Linked DNA regions of Tribolium castaneum. The protein of the gene in region 1 interacts with the protein of each later gene in a pairwise test. Links are inferred from orthologs where the notes say so. Each region holds a gene or a part of one and is shown on either strand. Other genes may lie near its edges.

Region 1 (6,113 bases):
GGTAGTGGATGACGATAAGAGACCGACGAATCAATCAATGGGTAAATAATTCATTAATTTTAACGAAAATCAAAAAACTTGTAAAAATAACACAAAAACTAGAACCTACTAATTTTGGTATTATTTTTTGACTGAGTTTTTGGAACGAAAATATAGATAAAAAGATAAAGTGTTTGTGCACTAGAACTTTCGATCTTGGTGAATAGAAACGTTCCAAAAATAGTTTCACTTAATTTGTTTTGTTTTGGTTAAGTTTTGTAATTAATATCACGTATTTTTTTTGTAAAAGTAAATCAACAATTCCCGTAACAAAAATAAAAATAAAGAAAAAAACAAAGGATGAGAAATTACATAAAGGAGAAATAGACAACTAAGAAAAAGACAAATTTTTGTTTTTAAAAAAATCAGTTTCCTTAAAAATATAAGCAAAAAACGGAGTATTTACAACAAAAGTGAGGTAATTTTATGTAAATATCTGAAGAAATAAACAAGAATATAGCACATTTTTGGGCGTAATTTGTCTTAGTTGCTCGATGGAAAATAGGAAATATTGCAGTTTAAACTGCGTTAAATCTTTCGATTTTGTTTAAGAAACAAGCAAGAACAGCACATTTTTGGGCATAATTGTTTGGGCGAATTTTTTCAAAGTTTTTTTAACGCAGAAATAAAAATCGTTTTTTAAATCAACTAATATTTATTATTACAAGTTTAATTTCTACTAGTACAATAACTTTTTAGGATACCATCATTTCTCCAAAGGCTCGAAATCCGAATCGGAGAAAGCGTTCATTCGCTCCAAAAATGAATTCAAAAGTCAATTAAACTTCCCCGGTATTTTGTATTCCGATTTCACGTCGTTCGCTTCGACGATTCCCTATTTTCACATAAGCGACGAGTTTCGTATTTTTTCGCCTGAAGGAATGCATCTGATTGTGTGCGTTCATGGCTTAGATGGAAATTCAGCTGATTTACGTTTAGTTAAAACCTATCTAGAGCTTGGACTTCCTGGGGCGTATCTCGACTTTCTCATGTCCGAACGAAATCAAGGAGATACTTTTAGCGATTTTGATACCATGACCGATAGGTAATAATAAATTAATAAATTTACAATCGTTCTATGAGATAATTTTTTTTGGTAGATTGGTCAGCGAAATTCTTCATTATTTAGACACGAGTAGCATTCGACCAACGAGAATAAGCTTCGTGGGTCACTCCTTAGGTAACGTTATTATTAGATCTGCCTTAACAAGGCCCCAGATGAAATTTCTACTACCAAGACTGCATACTTTCTTATCACTCTCTGGACCACATCTGGGCACTTTATACAACAGTAGTGGATTAGTCAATATGGGTAAATAAATTTAAAAAAAATTCTTTTTGTATTTTTTATTTTGGAATTTTATTGCAACGTTTATTATATATTATATTAACTTGCAGGAATGTGGTTTATGCAGAAATGGAAAAAATCAGGATCTCTTCTCCAGCTCTGTTTGAAAGATTCTAACGACGCTCGACAGTCGTTTTTGTACCGACTGAGTCAGAAAAGCACTTTACACCATTTCAAAAACGTGCTACTTTGCGGTTCGGGACAAGACAGGTTCGAAAATTTAAATTTTGGAGCCACTTTTTTTCTTACAAATAATTGTTTCAGATACGTTCCGTTGCACTCGGCCCGGATTGAGCTGTGCAAAGAATCGATCAAAGACACCTCTGATCAAGGCGCCATCTATCGAGAGATGGTCCACAACATCATCTCACCCATAATAGCACAGAAAGACGTGAATTTGGTCCGCTATGACATACACCATGCCTTACCTAACACAGCGAATGCTTTGATTGGTCGAGCTGCACACATAGCCGTCTTGGATTCGGAACTCTTTATTGAGAAATTCATGGCTGTAGTGGGAATTAAGTATTTCCGTTGAACTATTCTATTTATTAAATATTTTATAAAATAAATTAAAATACATTTACATTTATTATTAGTCCTAAAAGTAGTTTTATACCTTCACTAGAACAAAATTTTTCACAAACAATAATGAGTAATATGACACGTACTTTTTTTGACATTATTATTTTTTTTATTATTATTATTATTATTGAACACTTTGGTCACCTGCTTGAAGTGGTTCGTGGTTGACGACCCAACACTCCATTATTTGGTGGTGGATCACTTGGAGGCAGACTAGGACCAGAATCCTGGACAAAGTTTTTATGCAAAAACAACGAACCGCATCGAAATGTCAAAAATCGTACTGAACTTAATTGCATTACAATTTTAATGTAAAAGGTGTTCGACATAACACAACACTTAAACAGTGTTTTTATTTGAACGTAACGTACAAATGTGTGGTGGTGAGTTATATAGGGTTATTCTTTTAAAGCCTACATTAGAAACTTTACAAATTGCAATTTAGCTAGAGTCTTGAAATTTTGTAAATCGACTATCTCAAGTTCAACTTAATTATTTTCAAAATGGCTGAACTTCCAGAACTATGAAAATTTGGCGCCAACTTTGAAATTATAAATGGTAACCACTTATTTTTATTACATTTTTTAATTCACGTTTTCAAATGAGTCCAATAGTTTTGACATGTCAATTTTATTTTAAAATTTTATTTGCAGAGGTTCATTCAAAACAGCACAGCCCAAAATATGACGATCAAAAAATGGTTATAACACCCTTTTTTAATGAACATTTTATTTGACAAAAATACTATGACAGATAAGTACCAAAAACTTGAAAACATTTTACTCAAATTGAGAAGACGACTTCAAAAATAGTGTAGACCAAAAAAAGAATAATCCTGTAGTTATAGGTGACGTTTTTTGCGACACACCCTGTATAAAATGGCACCAAAACAATTTATTTTCTTGACGTCTCCGCCCACTCTGTGACATTTTGGTGTCAATTTTTTTTTTTTTTTTAGTTAGAAAACTGTTTCGTCTATTTTTTTACGACTGTTTTGATGCCGAAATAATACGTTTTATAAGATGTTATTAAATAAATGTTTACTAAAGTGTGTTTTTTTCACTTACGTCTCCCGGTGAGTTTTCGCTCGATTCCGTAATGAGAAGTAGTTTATTTTCTTCGGCTTCCACATCGATAATTCCACCTCGACTCTTTTGGTAGATAAATAATTGTCTCATTTGTGCTTGCAACATTTGTAATTCTTTGGTGACTTGAAAATTTTGAGCTTTTTCGAGTTCTCTCGGTGGAAGAGCGTTCTTCAGTTCTTGGACATCACAGTTGATTGGTTCGCGACAAACAGGACACGAGGCTTGAAAACCTGTTGTGCTTTTTTGCCAAGTTGGTAATTTTTCTTGTTCTTCAATAAAGTGTTTTTCGGTTGTGATTAAATGCATTGCAAGACAGTAGGAATGGAAGTAGTGGAAACATTGCGTTTTTGTAAAACTATCACCTTCGGAAAATCCGTACAAACACACGGCACAATGACAAGTTGGTAAATTGCTCTCAGTGAGATTTTCCCGAATCAATTCGATTAATTCGTAAATGACAGGCTGACCAATAAACTCGTTACATTTGTCCTTGATGGCGCGATACAAATGATTTAAGGTCGTGTCGTCCAAACCTCGGGGATTCCTCAATTGAACTAAAGGCTCACAATCGGGGTAATCCCCCGGTAATTTGACTTCCAAAGTCACACAGACGTACTGTTTGTCAGTATCGTCGGCAGTCGACGGAAATATCGTCGATTTGACTAGTTCGGGACACCCACTAGGGGGAAAAATGCAAATAATTGTGCTAAAATCAGTCAAAATCTTACTTGTCTCCATACGATACCGAAATATCGTCCATTAAAATTGCCTCCAACGCTTCAATTTCTTCCTGAACCCTTAAACACAAACGTTAATCAAGCGGTTTTAGTTTGATGAGTCTTTACCTTTCATTTAACGACATTTTTATAAGGTTTTGGGTGAGATTAATCAATATTGGGACGAAAATTCAATTTCTGTCACCTGTCACTGTCAAACTTCACTTGTCAAAAAGCAGTGGCGTCGGTAAATTTTAAAACGCACTAAACTATTTTTATATTCACAACTAAAGTACGTATCGCATGTCGCAATGGTGGAAAAAATTGTGCTGTTTCATTGATTATAATTGTTGATTTTATTTCATTAAAAAAAGCGAGATAAAAATTGTGTTTTTCGAGTGCACACCTATGACTTTGACGTTTTGCCAACCAAACGTCAAATGGACAAGAAAATGGTTTAAAAGAAATAATTAAAACGTGTAATTGCACTAATTATTTGACAATTGTCACAATTAATGTGAAAATTGGGGCCTAAAGTTTTTTTAGTGAAAAAATGGGCCAATGTTTGGCAACATTGTGTCAAGGTCACTTGTGTCCTATGCTTGTGTCAAATTTGGCAAGTGTTAGTCAGTGGCGGCATTTCTCGTAGTTTTTTCGTTTTTTTCGCCGAATTCATCAATTTTTGTTCAACATGTCGAGTGGCGACAATAAAAACCTTCATCCAGGGCCCAATACTCATTTAATTCCAAGTCCGCTGATAACGAAACGAAATCGAACACCGTCTACGTAAGTCGGTCAATAATCGTTAATGTAAATATTGCAAAAAATATATTTCAGATGCGAGCGCATCTTAAAACACCAGAATTTGTACGGGGAAATTAAGTCCTTCTGTCGGGAGAAAGGGCACGGTTTTATCACACCTGAGGACGGGTCTGAGGACATTTTCGTCCACATTTCAGAGTAATTTCGTGTTTATAAATTGGTTTGTTTGCTATTGGAGTTATTTTTAGCATTGAAGATGAGTACATTCCCATACCTGGAGACAGGGTTAAATACCAACTGTGTCCAATTCCGCCAAAGTTTGAAAAACATCAAGCAGTACATGTACACATTGTCAACCTCAAACCAGAAGTCCATAAGAGATGGGAAAGTTACTAAACAAAATCTCGAAATATAACTCACCATGCATTTATTTTAGCTAATATTTCAAACATATTCCTGTATTTTTACGTGTTTTATGTTCATTAAAATTATATATCCTCTAATACAGGGTTATTCTATTGCTGCCTACATTAGAAACTTTTAATTTCCAGTGTAGAGTTTAAGGTAATTTTAGTGCATTTTTGAATTCGCCTTCTTAAAATGAGTAAAAATTACCCAAGTTGTTGCTACTTATGTCTTACCATAGTTTTTAACATGTAAATTTTTTTCTCAAAATTTTATTTATTCAAAACAACACAGTAACAAGTGAATATTTTTTTACATTCGATAACCAGAGGTTGGAAGAGTCTGAGATTTTCAAAATTGTCAACAACTGTCAAATTGCAAGGTTAGTATCATTTTCAAAAAACGAACGACTATTTTCTTAACGGCAATCGAAAAAACATCGATATTTATCGTGAGTTTTATCGACTCATCATATATTTACTATAAATATCTTTTATAATTTTTGAAATAATCACAAAAAACAATTTTATTTTGTAATTTTCATCGTTAATCAAGTAGGCCTTGCAAAATGTCCAACTATTGTCAACCTTCAACATATTTTGTTTAGTTTTTAGAATTCAGAAATAAAATTAACTAGACGCCCTCTGGTGATGACTTTTGAACTATGTCGAAAACAGTAAAGAAATTTTCGTAATTCCACATTTAACTGACATTTAATGAATTGTTCAACAATTTTGCGTGTATAGTGTTAATTACTTACAATAGAAAGAATCACTTTAAAAGTACGTGGTGGTAAATACTAGCGTTGACTTTGGTTCTGTAGTTTTTCGTGGTATAAAGTGTTTATTGTTGGAACTTGAAAGTGGATAAAAAGTGAAAAATATTTAAATTTTGATTACAAAGTGTTATCAAACAGTTGTCTAATTAAAGATTATAAGTAATGGATCACAGCGAACACAAAGTTTGGCTCAAGAAACCAATAAATTAGTGAAGTGTGTGAATTTTAGGTTAGAATTTTCCACTGAAAAAATCATGAAATGCTGCTGTAAATCTACAAAACTACAATAAAGATTAACAACTGCTGATACATTTTAACGTAAATTATGCCAAAAGGTAGGCTTTTCAATGTCTTTATAATAATTTTCCAATAAAGAAAGTGAACCAAACAGT
Region 2 (6,575 bases), on another chromosome or scaffold:
AGTAGTTACGAACTTAAATTGGAAAAATGGTCAGACCCAAAAAATTACAAAATTAACATTACAAATAAAATGAAAGTTTTGTGTTAATGCTCATCGGGAAATTTGTTTAAACTATTAAACTATTCACTGTTGTAACCAATTTTTTTTCAATTTGGTTTAAAATAGCGTTTGCCAAACCAGAATAATGAATACAGTTTGTGTAATAAGAATTTAATTTGAATGCAGTTAAATGCAGCTCTTAAACAATCATCATTCTCATGTTTTCACCAAATACACATGCACACACGACACTCAAACACAATTCGCAAGCAGCACATGTCTGAAGTAAAAGTACTAACCATGGTGTTTTGGGTACAAGACTCTTACCCAAGCCGATCGACAAGAAACTGAATGAAATAAGAAGTTGTGGGAGAGACAGGCACCCCTACTTTGTTTTACTGTTAAAACATTGGAATATCATGACAAGTTCATGGAAAAGTGCAATTCATTGTTGATAAAAGCCAAGCCTGTTGTAAGAATAAAAAGTTGTATGTAATTTGAAAAATGTGATTAAATTTCGTGAAATTTATGGATTCGGTGGAATTTTTATGAATGTTACTTAAGAAAAATTTCAATTGCAAAAATTGCATTTAGAATTTAAAAATTGGGTTAATTGACTGTGTTACGTCTTGAAGTAAATAGGTCGATAAAACAGAGTGAACAAAATAAACTTCCGTATAATTTTTACCACAAAAAAATTGAATTGTGTTACACCTACATATCACCACAATTTGAAAATGGTTCTGAAAGGTATCACGAATCTGTTCGAAGGTTAGATAACAAACCAATTATTAACTACAATCTTTGGTTCAATACATTTTCAAAAATATTACACCACTATTGTTCTAATAGTTCCTGCAGCCAAATTACCTATTAATTAAAGAGAAAATTACAAAACAGTAGAGTTTTCAATGTCGTTTGATGAAAATATTGGGTCTATTGCCTTTCACTTAATTATGCGAACGATTAGCAAAGCGTAAATTTCTCATCTTTTTTGAATCATTTTAATCAAGTTTGGAAAAACAGTAAATTAGAATTAATTTTGCATAACCAGGAAAAATCAGTGTCAAGTTTTTAATCTTGAACTTGCGCACACGCAGTTATTATTTTATATTTTAAAAAGTGATTGCAAAAATAACGATACTTACCTACGAATTTTACAGTTATGAAAATGTTTCTTAAAACAGGATTTAAAATGTTAAAAGTCGACGTTTCCCAAAACTGATATACTTTTAATTATGTAATAAATTATGGAATATTTGTGGAGGTATATCTATTTAGAAATTATTAGGAGTCGGGTTTATAAAATCAAAGATTTAACTAACTTTAGTTGCAAAACTCTCTACATACTACCTAGTTTCCAATAATAAAATAACACATATTTTATTCTCTTTAATGTTTATTCGTGTTGCACAATTATTGCTAGGCATACAAACAAATAAATAAATATTTATAAACAAAAAATTCAATAATTAGAGCAGTTTTTTTCCATCAATAAAAGATATTTACCAATCTTATTGCAATAATGATTAATTGCACAAAACCTTACGATCTCCAAATTTATTCATATTTGGTGAGGACCACATATTTCATTTGCTATTGACAAGGTCACTTATACGTGAAAAACGTGGGAAAGGTGTGTCTGGTAAAATGGTGGTGTGTCTCTATGACGTATAAATCTTTAAAAAGAAGCGAAAGTAAGGCAGTCATGCGTTATGTAAAATATTTGTAATAGTCGTAGTCTCGGAGGCTGTCTGAAATAATGATGAGAATCTGGTTCATCGAGAGAATAAGAAGTAGTTGTTTTATCTAAATCGGAAAGGAAAGCTCTAATCATTACATTCGTGATGAGAATTAGATATGTACATCTATTTATTACAAATAACTATTTTATAAAAAAAAATAGTTTAACAAGATCCAAGGCAGACGAATTTGACTGATCAAAATTTGCATTTTTGTTTAAAGTTTAGGTACAATTTAGATCACAATCTAGGACTTATTTATTAGATATAAACCAAATAATTACTAATCCTTATATTTTTTATGCTACATTGAATTTAGGAGGGAGGGTCCAGGGGACGAATGCTACATTTTTGAGAAAAAATACAATGGTAATTTTTTTTTTAATTGTTTATTGTTTTTGAAAGTACACTTCTTTATCTTTCTAATAAAAAAAATAAATATTACACCTAACAAAAATGTACTGTAAGGCTTTATCTTGTTGTTCTTTCTTTATGTTGTAGGACATTTGTTTTGCATATATTTTTTAAAATAATTAGCATAGAAAGATAATAATAATAATAATATATAAAATAATGCAGGATAAAGATAAATAAGGTTTTTTTGTGTAATTCTCAATAATTTTTGTAGCTACAAAATGTGAGCAACAAATAAACTTAAATTTGAGACACCTTTTTTACATTATTGCTTAGAACGTAGTAGTTCTATAATAAAATTATAGAAACTGATCTTTGGCTGTTCCACTTATGGAAATGAAGAATTTACAAAAAACTTAAAAAATTTGATTGTATTATGTGTTGCATAAAAAAAGTTTTAACGCCATCTCTTTTTTTCATAGCGTAATTTTGCGAATTGCTGTCATAACGTAGCGGATCTGTAATGAGTTCACGGAATTGGGAGCTGTTTTACCGACATGACTAAGTCGCCACGGAAGTGATCAGTCATCTTTTCTGGAACCTAAAGTTGATCCCCGTACTCTGTATCAAAAAGACAAAGTGTTTCAATAACTGATATATTTTCGGGTAATTACTTAGGTCAAGTCGCGAGTAGCTCGTGGTGTTTAAACGCGTAAAAAATCATCGGAAGTCTCCATTTGACCTACGTGGTGTCTGTGAGTTTTGAAGGAGGCCATCTTTGCAATCTCCTATCAGAGGTCCTTGGCTCGAGGTTTCATTGTCTGGTGAAAAGCCAGTATTTATTACACATACACTCCGTCAAATGGCTTTAAAACGAATTAATAAGGTATGTTAAAGTTCGCAGTGAAAGTGATGTTCGCATGTGGCCGCAGATCGTCCCGTTAAAATTGTTTTTGTGGCAGTTAAACGCCCTTAACGATTTTGTGATCCGATAATGTGAATCGCGTTAATCCTGTTATGACCCGAGTTTTTCAACTTGTGCACGCCGTTTTCGGCGCTAGAAAAGCGTGTGAGGGGCTTTTGGCAGGTCGTGACAGAGTTTGACCATTTTCCTCGTACACCTTATCAAATGGCACAAAAAATGCCGGATGTAACGTAACGATTGTCAAACCCGATCGAGACCTGTTTTTCGCTCGGTTTTTCCCTCAGAAACATGCGTTTCTCTCATTGAGGCTAATTTTAAGTGCATAGGTTGGTCTTTCATGCTTCTAACCTCACCATATTAGGGCCCCGACTTTCAGGTGTCTATTATTAACCCGATACCTGTTCAAGTGGATTCTTGCTCAACTTTTCTTGTCTTTCAGGAACTACAAGACCTCGGCAGAGATCCTCCCGCACAATGTTCAGCAGGACCTGTTGGAGATGATTGTAAGTCTGATTAATTTCGCAAAAAGTTGATTCTAAACCACGTTGTGTTTATTACAGTATTTCACTGGCAAGCCACAATTATGGGACCAGTAAGTTTACTTTTTATCTTATTTTTTCCGAAAATCAAGATCGTACATAACGGTACTGATGCTATTAATAGACTTTTAATTTATTTATCCAATAACCTTATGCAAACACTGAAACTTATTGATTTGAGTTTTCTATTCAAAAATGAGTCAACTAGTCCCGGTGTTTCATATTCATAATCACAAATAGCATTGAGTCGTTTTATGGCTTCGGAAGTAATGCTCCAAGTGTGAATTATTTTTCTTTGCAGCCTGATAGTCCATACCAAGGAGGAGTATTCTTTTTAACAATTCATTTCCCAACAGACTATCCGTTCAAACCGCCTAAAGTTGCGTTTACTACAAGAATTTATCATCCAAACATAAACAGTAATGGTAGCATTTGTCTTGATATACTACGTTCGCAGTGGTCACCAGCACTTACAATTTCAAAAGGTATGTTAATTTTTAGTTTTTCAACTTGAAACTTTCAAAAATGATTGTGGATGCCAGTGAATTAAGTTTCACATGTTAAGCAATAAGGAGGTATTACTTAGACATCTTGCAAATCAGTGTTTTTGTTTATTGGTGTTAGCAATTAGACTTTATATGCAATTATGTAACAAAAACACTTTCCAATACTTGTGTCATTTTTTATATAATTAATAATGTATGCCACATGTGCATGCATAAGGTCGTTGCATCTGATTATCAAGTGGCGCCAACTTGTGGGGTTTCGATCAATTCTTCTACAAGTTATTAATTAATAGAATTTTTATCAAGTAGATGACCACATGTTATTTAGGTCATTGTTTATTAATACGATTTCAAAGGATGTTATTTGTTTACAGTTTTTCTGTTCACTTTTTTCACTGCTTCATTTAGTTTGTCTCCAGATAATTTTAAAATTTACGATAAGTCACATACACGTTACATTTTTTTATTTTAACATTCATTAAAGTCTTTGGTTTTGCTTTATTTCATTTAAAAACTTAATTCCATTAAAACATCAAAACTAGTTGTTTACAATCGTTACAAATTTATAAAGGATCATCAAACTTTTTACCTTATAAAAAGCATTTTTAAAATTTTTGTTATTGTTTTGGTAACGGTCTATTTAGTTTTTATTGTTCAAATAAGTAATAAAATAATGAGTAACGCTATAGTCAATATTAGCAGCAAAGCGTTACTATTATCGTAAACTTGGGTGTAATTTATAATAATAATTTTAATAATAAAATATTTGTTTATATTTTTGTCCAGATTTACCTTCACACAATAAATCCTGTGGTGATTAATAAATTATTATTTATACAGCACTGTAGTGCAATAAATTTACTTTTAACGTTGTTTGCGACTTGACATTTGTAACCTTTGTGCGATATCCTTAGGTGGATAACAGTTTTCTTGATTATGTTTTATATGTGCTATGTATGTATAATTTATTTTTGTTTTATGAGGTGTTACGATTTTTTCATTTACTAATACTACATTTTTAAATGATCTTGCATTAAACTAGATTTGATTTTACATGTAGACGGTGTCTCCAGTCTTACGGCCGGAGCAAAAATAAATATTTCTAGTTAAATCAAAAAATTATTTCGTAGCCTAAACGATAGAAAATTTGATGCTTTATTTCTTTCAAGTTGGCAACTGCAAAAATAGAGTTAAGCTATTGGTTTGAGTAATTAAAAAGAGGGGATAATAACCACTTTACTCGTATTATTTTATTTTAAATTTGCAGTTCTCTTTTCAGAATTGTTTTGCCGATTGTGAAATTTGACACATTTAGTGAGAATTTAATATGAAACAAGCATAAGAATTGAGTCATAATTGTTATGGATAAAGTGTTTAGCTGCTCTGCAATTGTTATTGTTTTTAATATGTATTAGAGCAAACACGTTTATTGTATTTTTCTTGAGTTGAGTTTTTGCGTGGGAGTTAAGTGCCGATTGCGTTTTTATGTCAATTGATTGTTGGAGGTGATGAATGAGTAATTGGTGTTTTTGTTCCAGTACTCTTATCAATCTGCTCACTTTTGTGTGACCCAAATCCAGATGATCCATTAGTACCAGAAATCGCTAGGATATATAAAACTGACCGGGAAAAGTACAACGAGCTAGCGCGCGAGTGGACTCGCAAATATGCTATGTGATGCCCCGGCCCCCAAACCCCACACTTCACACTTTAGATAAAAACAACTTATTTAATTGCAACACTCGGAGGGGATAAGCCAGCGTCGATTATTTCTGTCAAGTTGTATATTTGCTTTGGACTGTGCTCCCTCCGCCACTTACTACCACAGTATCCATTGGGGTTTAAAGTGTTCAAAAATCATTTATAATCTACATTAAATTTGAAATTACTTTGTTTGAATTGAATATATTGTGGTTGTAAGAAGTCAAGTGTTGGGTTGCGTTTTTCTTTCCCACTTGCACCCGACTTCCTTGCTGGAGTAGTGAAAGTGCGTGTTGCTTGTTTGTTTGATATAAACACTTGGCAGGCATTTTTAGTACTTGATGATTTCAACGTCGGGTCCCGGATTTTCTATCCAGCGTATGGATGACACTCATATACTAATATAATTGTTAGATAAATTAATATGTAGGTTTTGTGGTTCAACTAGGTGTATTGTAATAAATGATTTTTTTCTCTACATTCTATACATGTTTCAAGTTTTTAATATTCTAGATCTCAGATGTCTAGTTCTATTCGGCTAAATTTTAAAGGTAAGGCGACTCTTATCGAATGCGTGACGTTTAGTTTACACTGAAGTTGACCAATGAGCAAACAGAGCATTCACAATTCTGGCATCTGATCGTTATTTTTGAAAACAAAGTGGCCGTTTTGTTTGCTCGATTACACTCTAGAGCAAGTCCCCAACACTTCTAAAGTTCAGACAAATCGTAGAAAACCGATCTTGGCAAAATTTCTCAGATAGAATAAG

Evidence for each region. The genes of interacting proteins can lie anywhere in the genome.
Region 2: the proteins of E3 ubiquitin-protein ligase RNF25 (region 1) and eff interact in a two-hybrid assay, tested with the Drosophila melanogaster proteins (2 studies listed by BioGRID). The link is inferred for Tribolium castaneum from reciprocal best matches to the Drosophila melanogaster genes CG13344 and eff.

Annotation. Positions count from the first base shown.
Region 1 is NC_087394.1:923,576-929,688, forward strand, and holds E3 ubiquitin-protein ligase RNF25, read right to left. Parts: upstream 4,058-6,113; 5' UTR 3,923-4,057; coding exon 3,906-3,922; intron 3,858-3,905; coding exon 3,789-3,857; intron 3,740-3,788; coding exon 3,040-3,739; intron 3,022-3,039; exon of another isoform or gene 2,200-3,021; coding exon 2,113-2,199; 3' UTR 1,926-2,112; downstream 1-1,925. Other genes in the region: protein FAM135A, read left to right, coding at 1-41, 739-1,084, 1,140-1,351, 1,438-1,597, 1,652-1,925; cold shock domain-containing protein CG9705, read left to right, coding at 4,468-4,562, 4,614-4,736, 4,787-4,934.
Region 2 is NC_087397.1:3,982,223-3,988,797, forward strand, and holds eff (ubiquitin-conjugating enzyme E2-17 kDa), read left to right. Parts: upstream 1-2,713; 5' UTR 2,714-2,997; coding exon 2,998-3,021; intron 3,022-3,499; coding exon 3,500-3,563; intron 3,564-3,620; coding exon 3,621-3,652; intron 3,653-3,900; coding exon 3,901-4,084; intron 4,085-5,643; coding exon 5,644-5,783; 3' UTR 5,784-6,284; downstream 6,285-6,575. UniProt on the Drosophila melanogaster protein: Catalyzes the covalent attachment of ubiquitin to other proteins. Mediates the selective degradation of short-lived and abnormal proteins.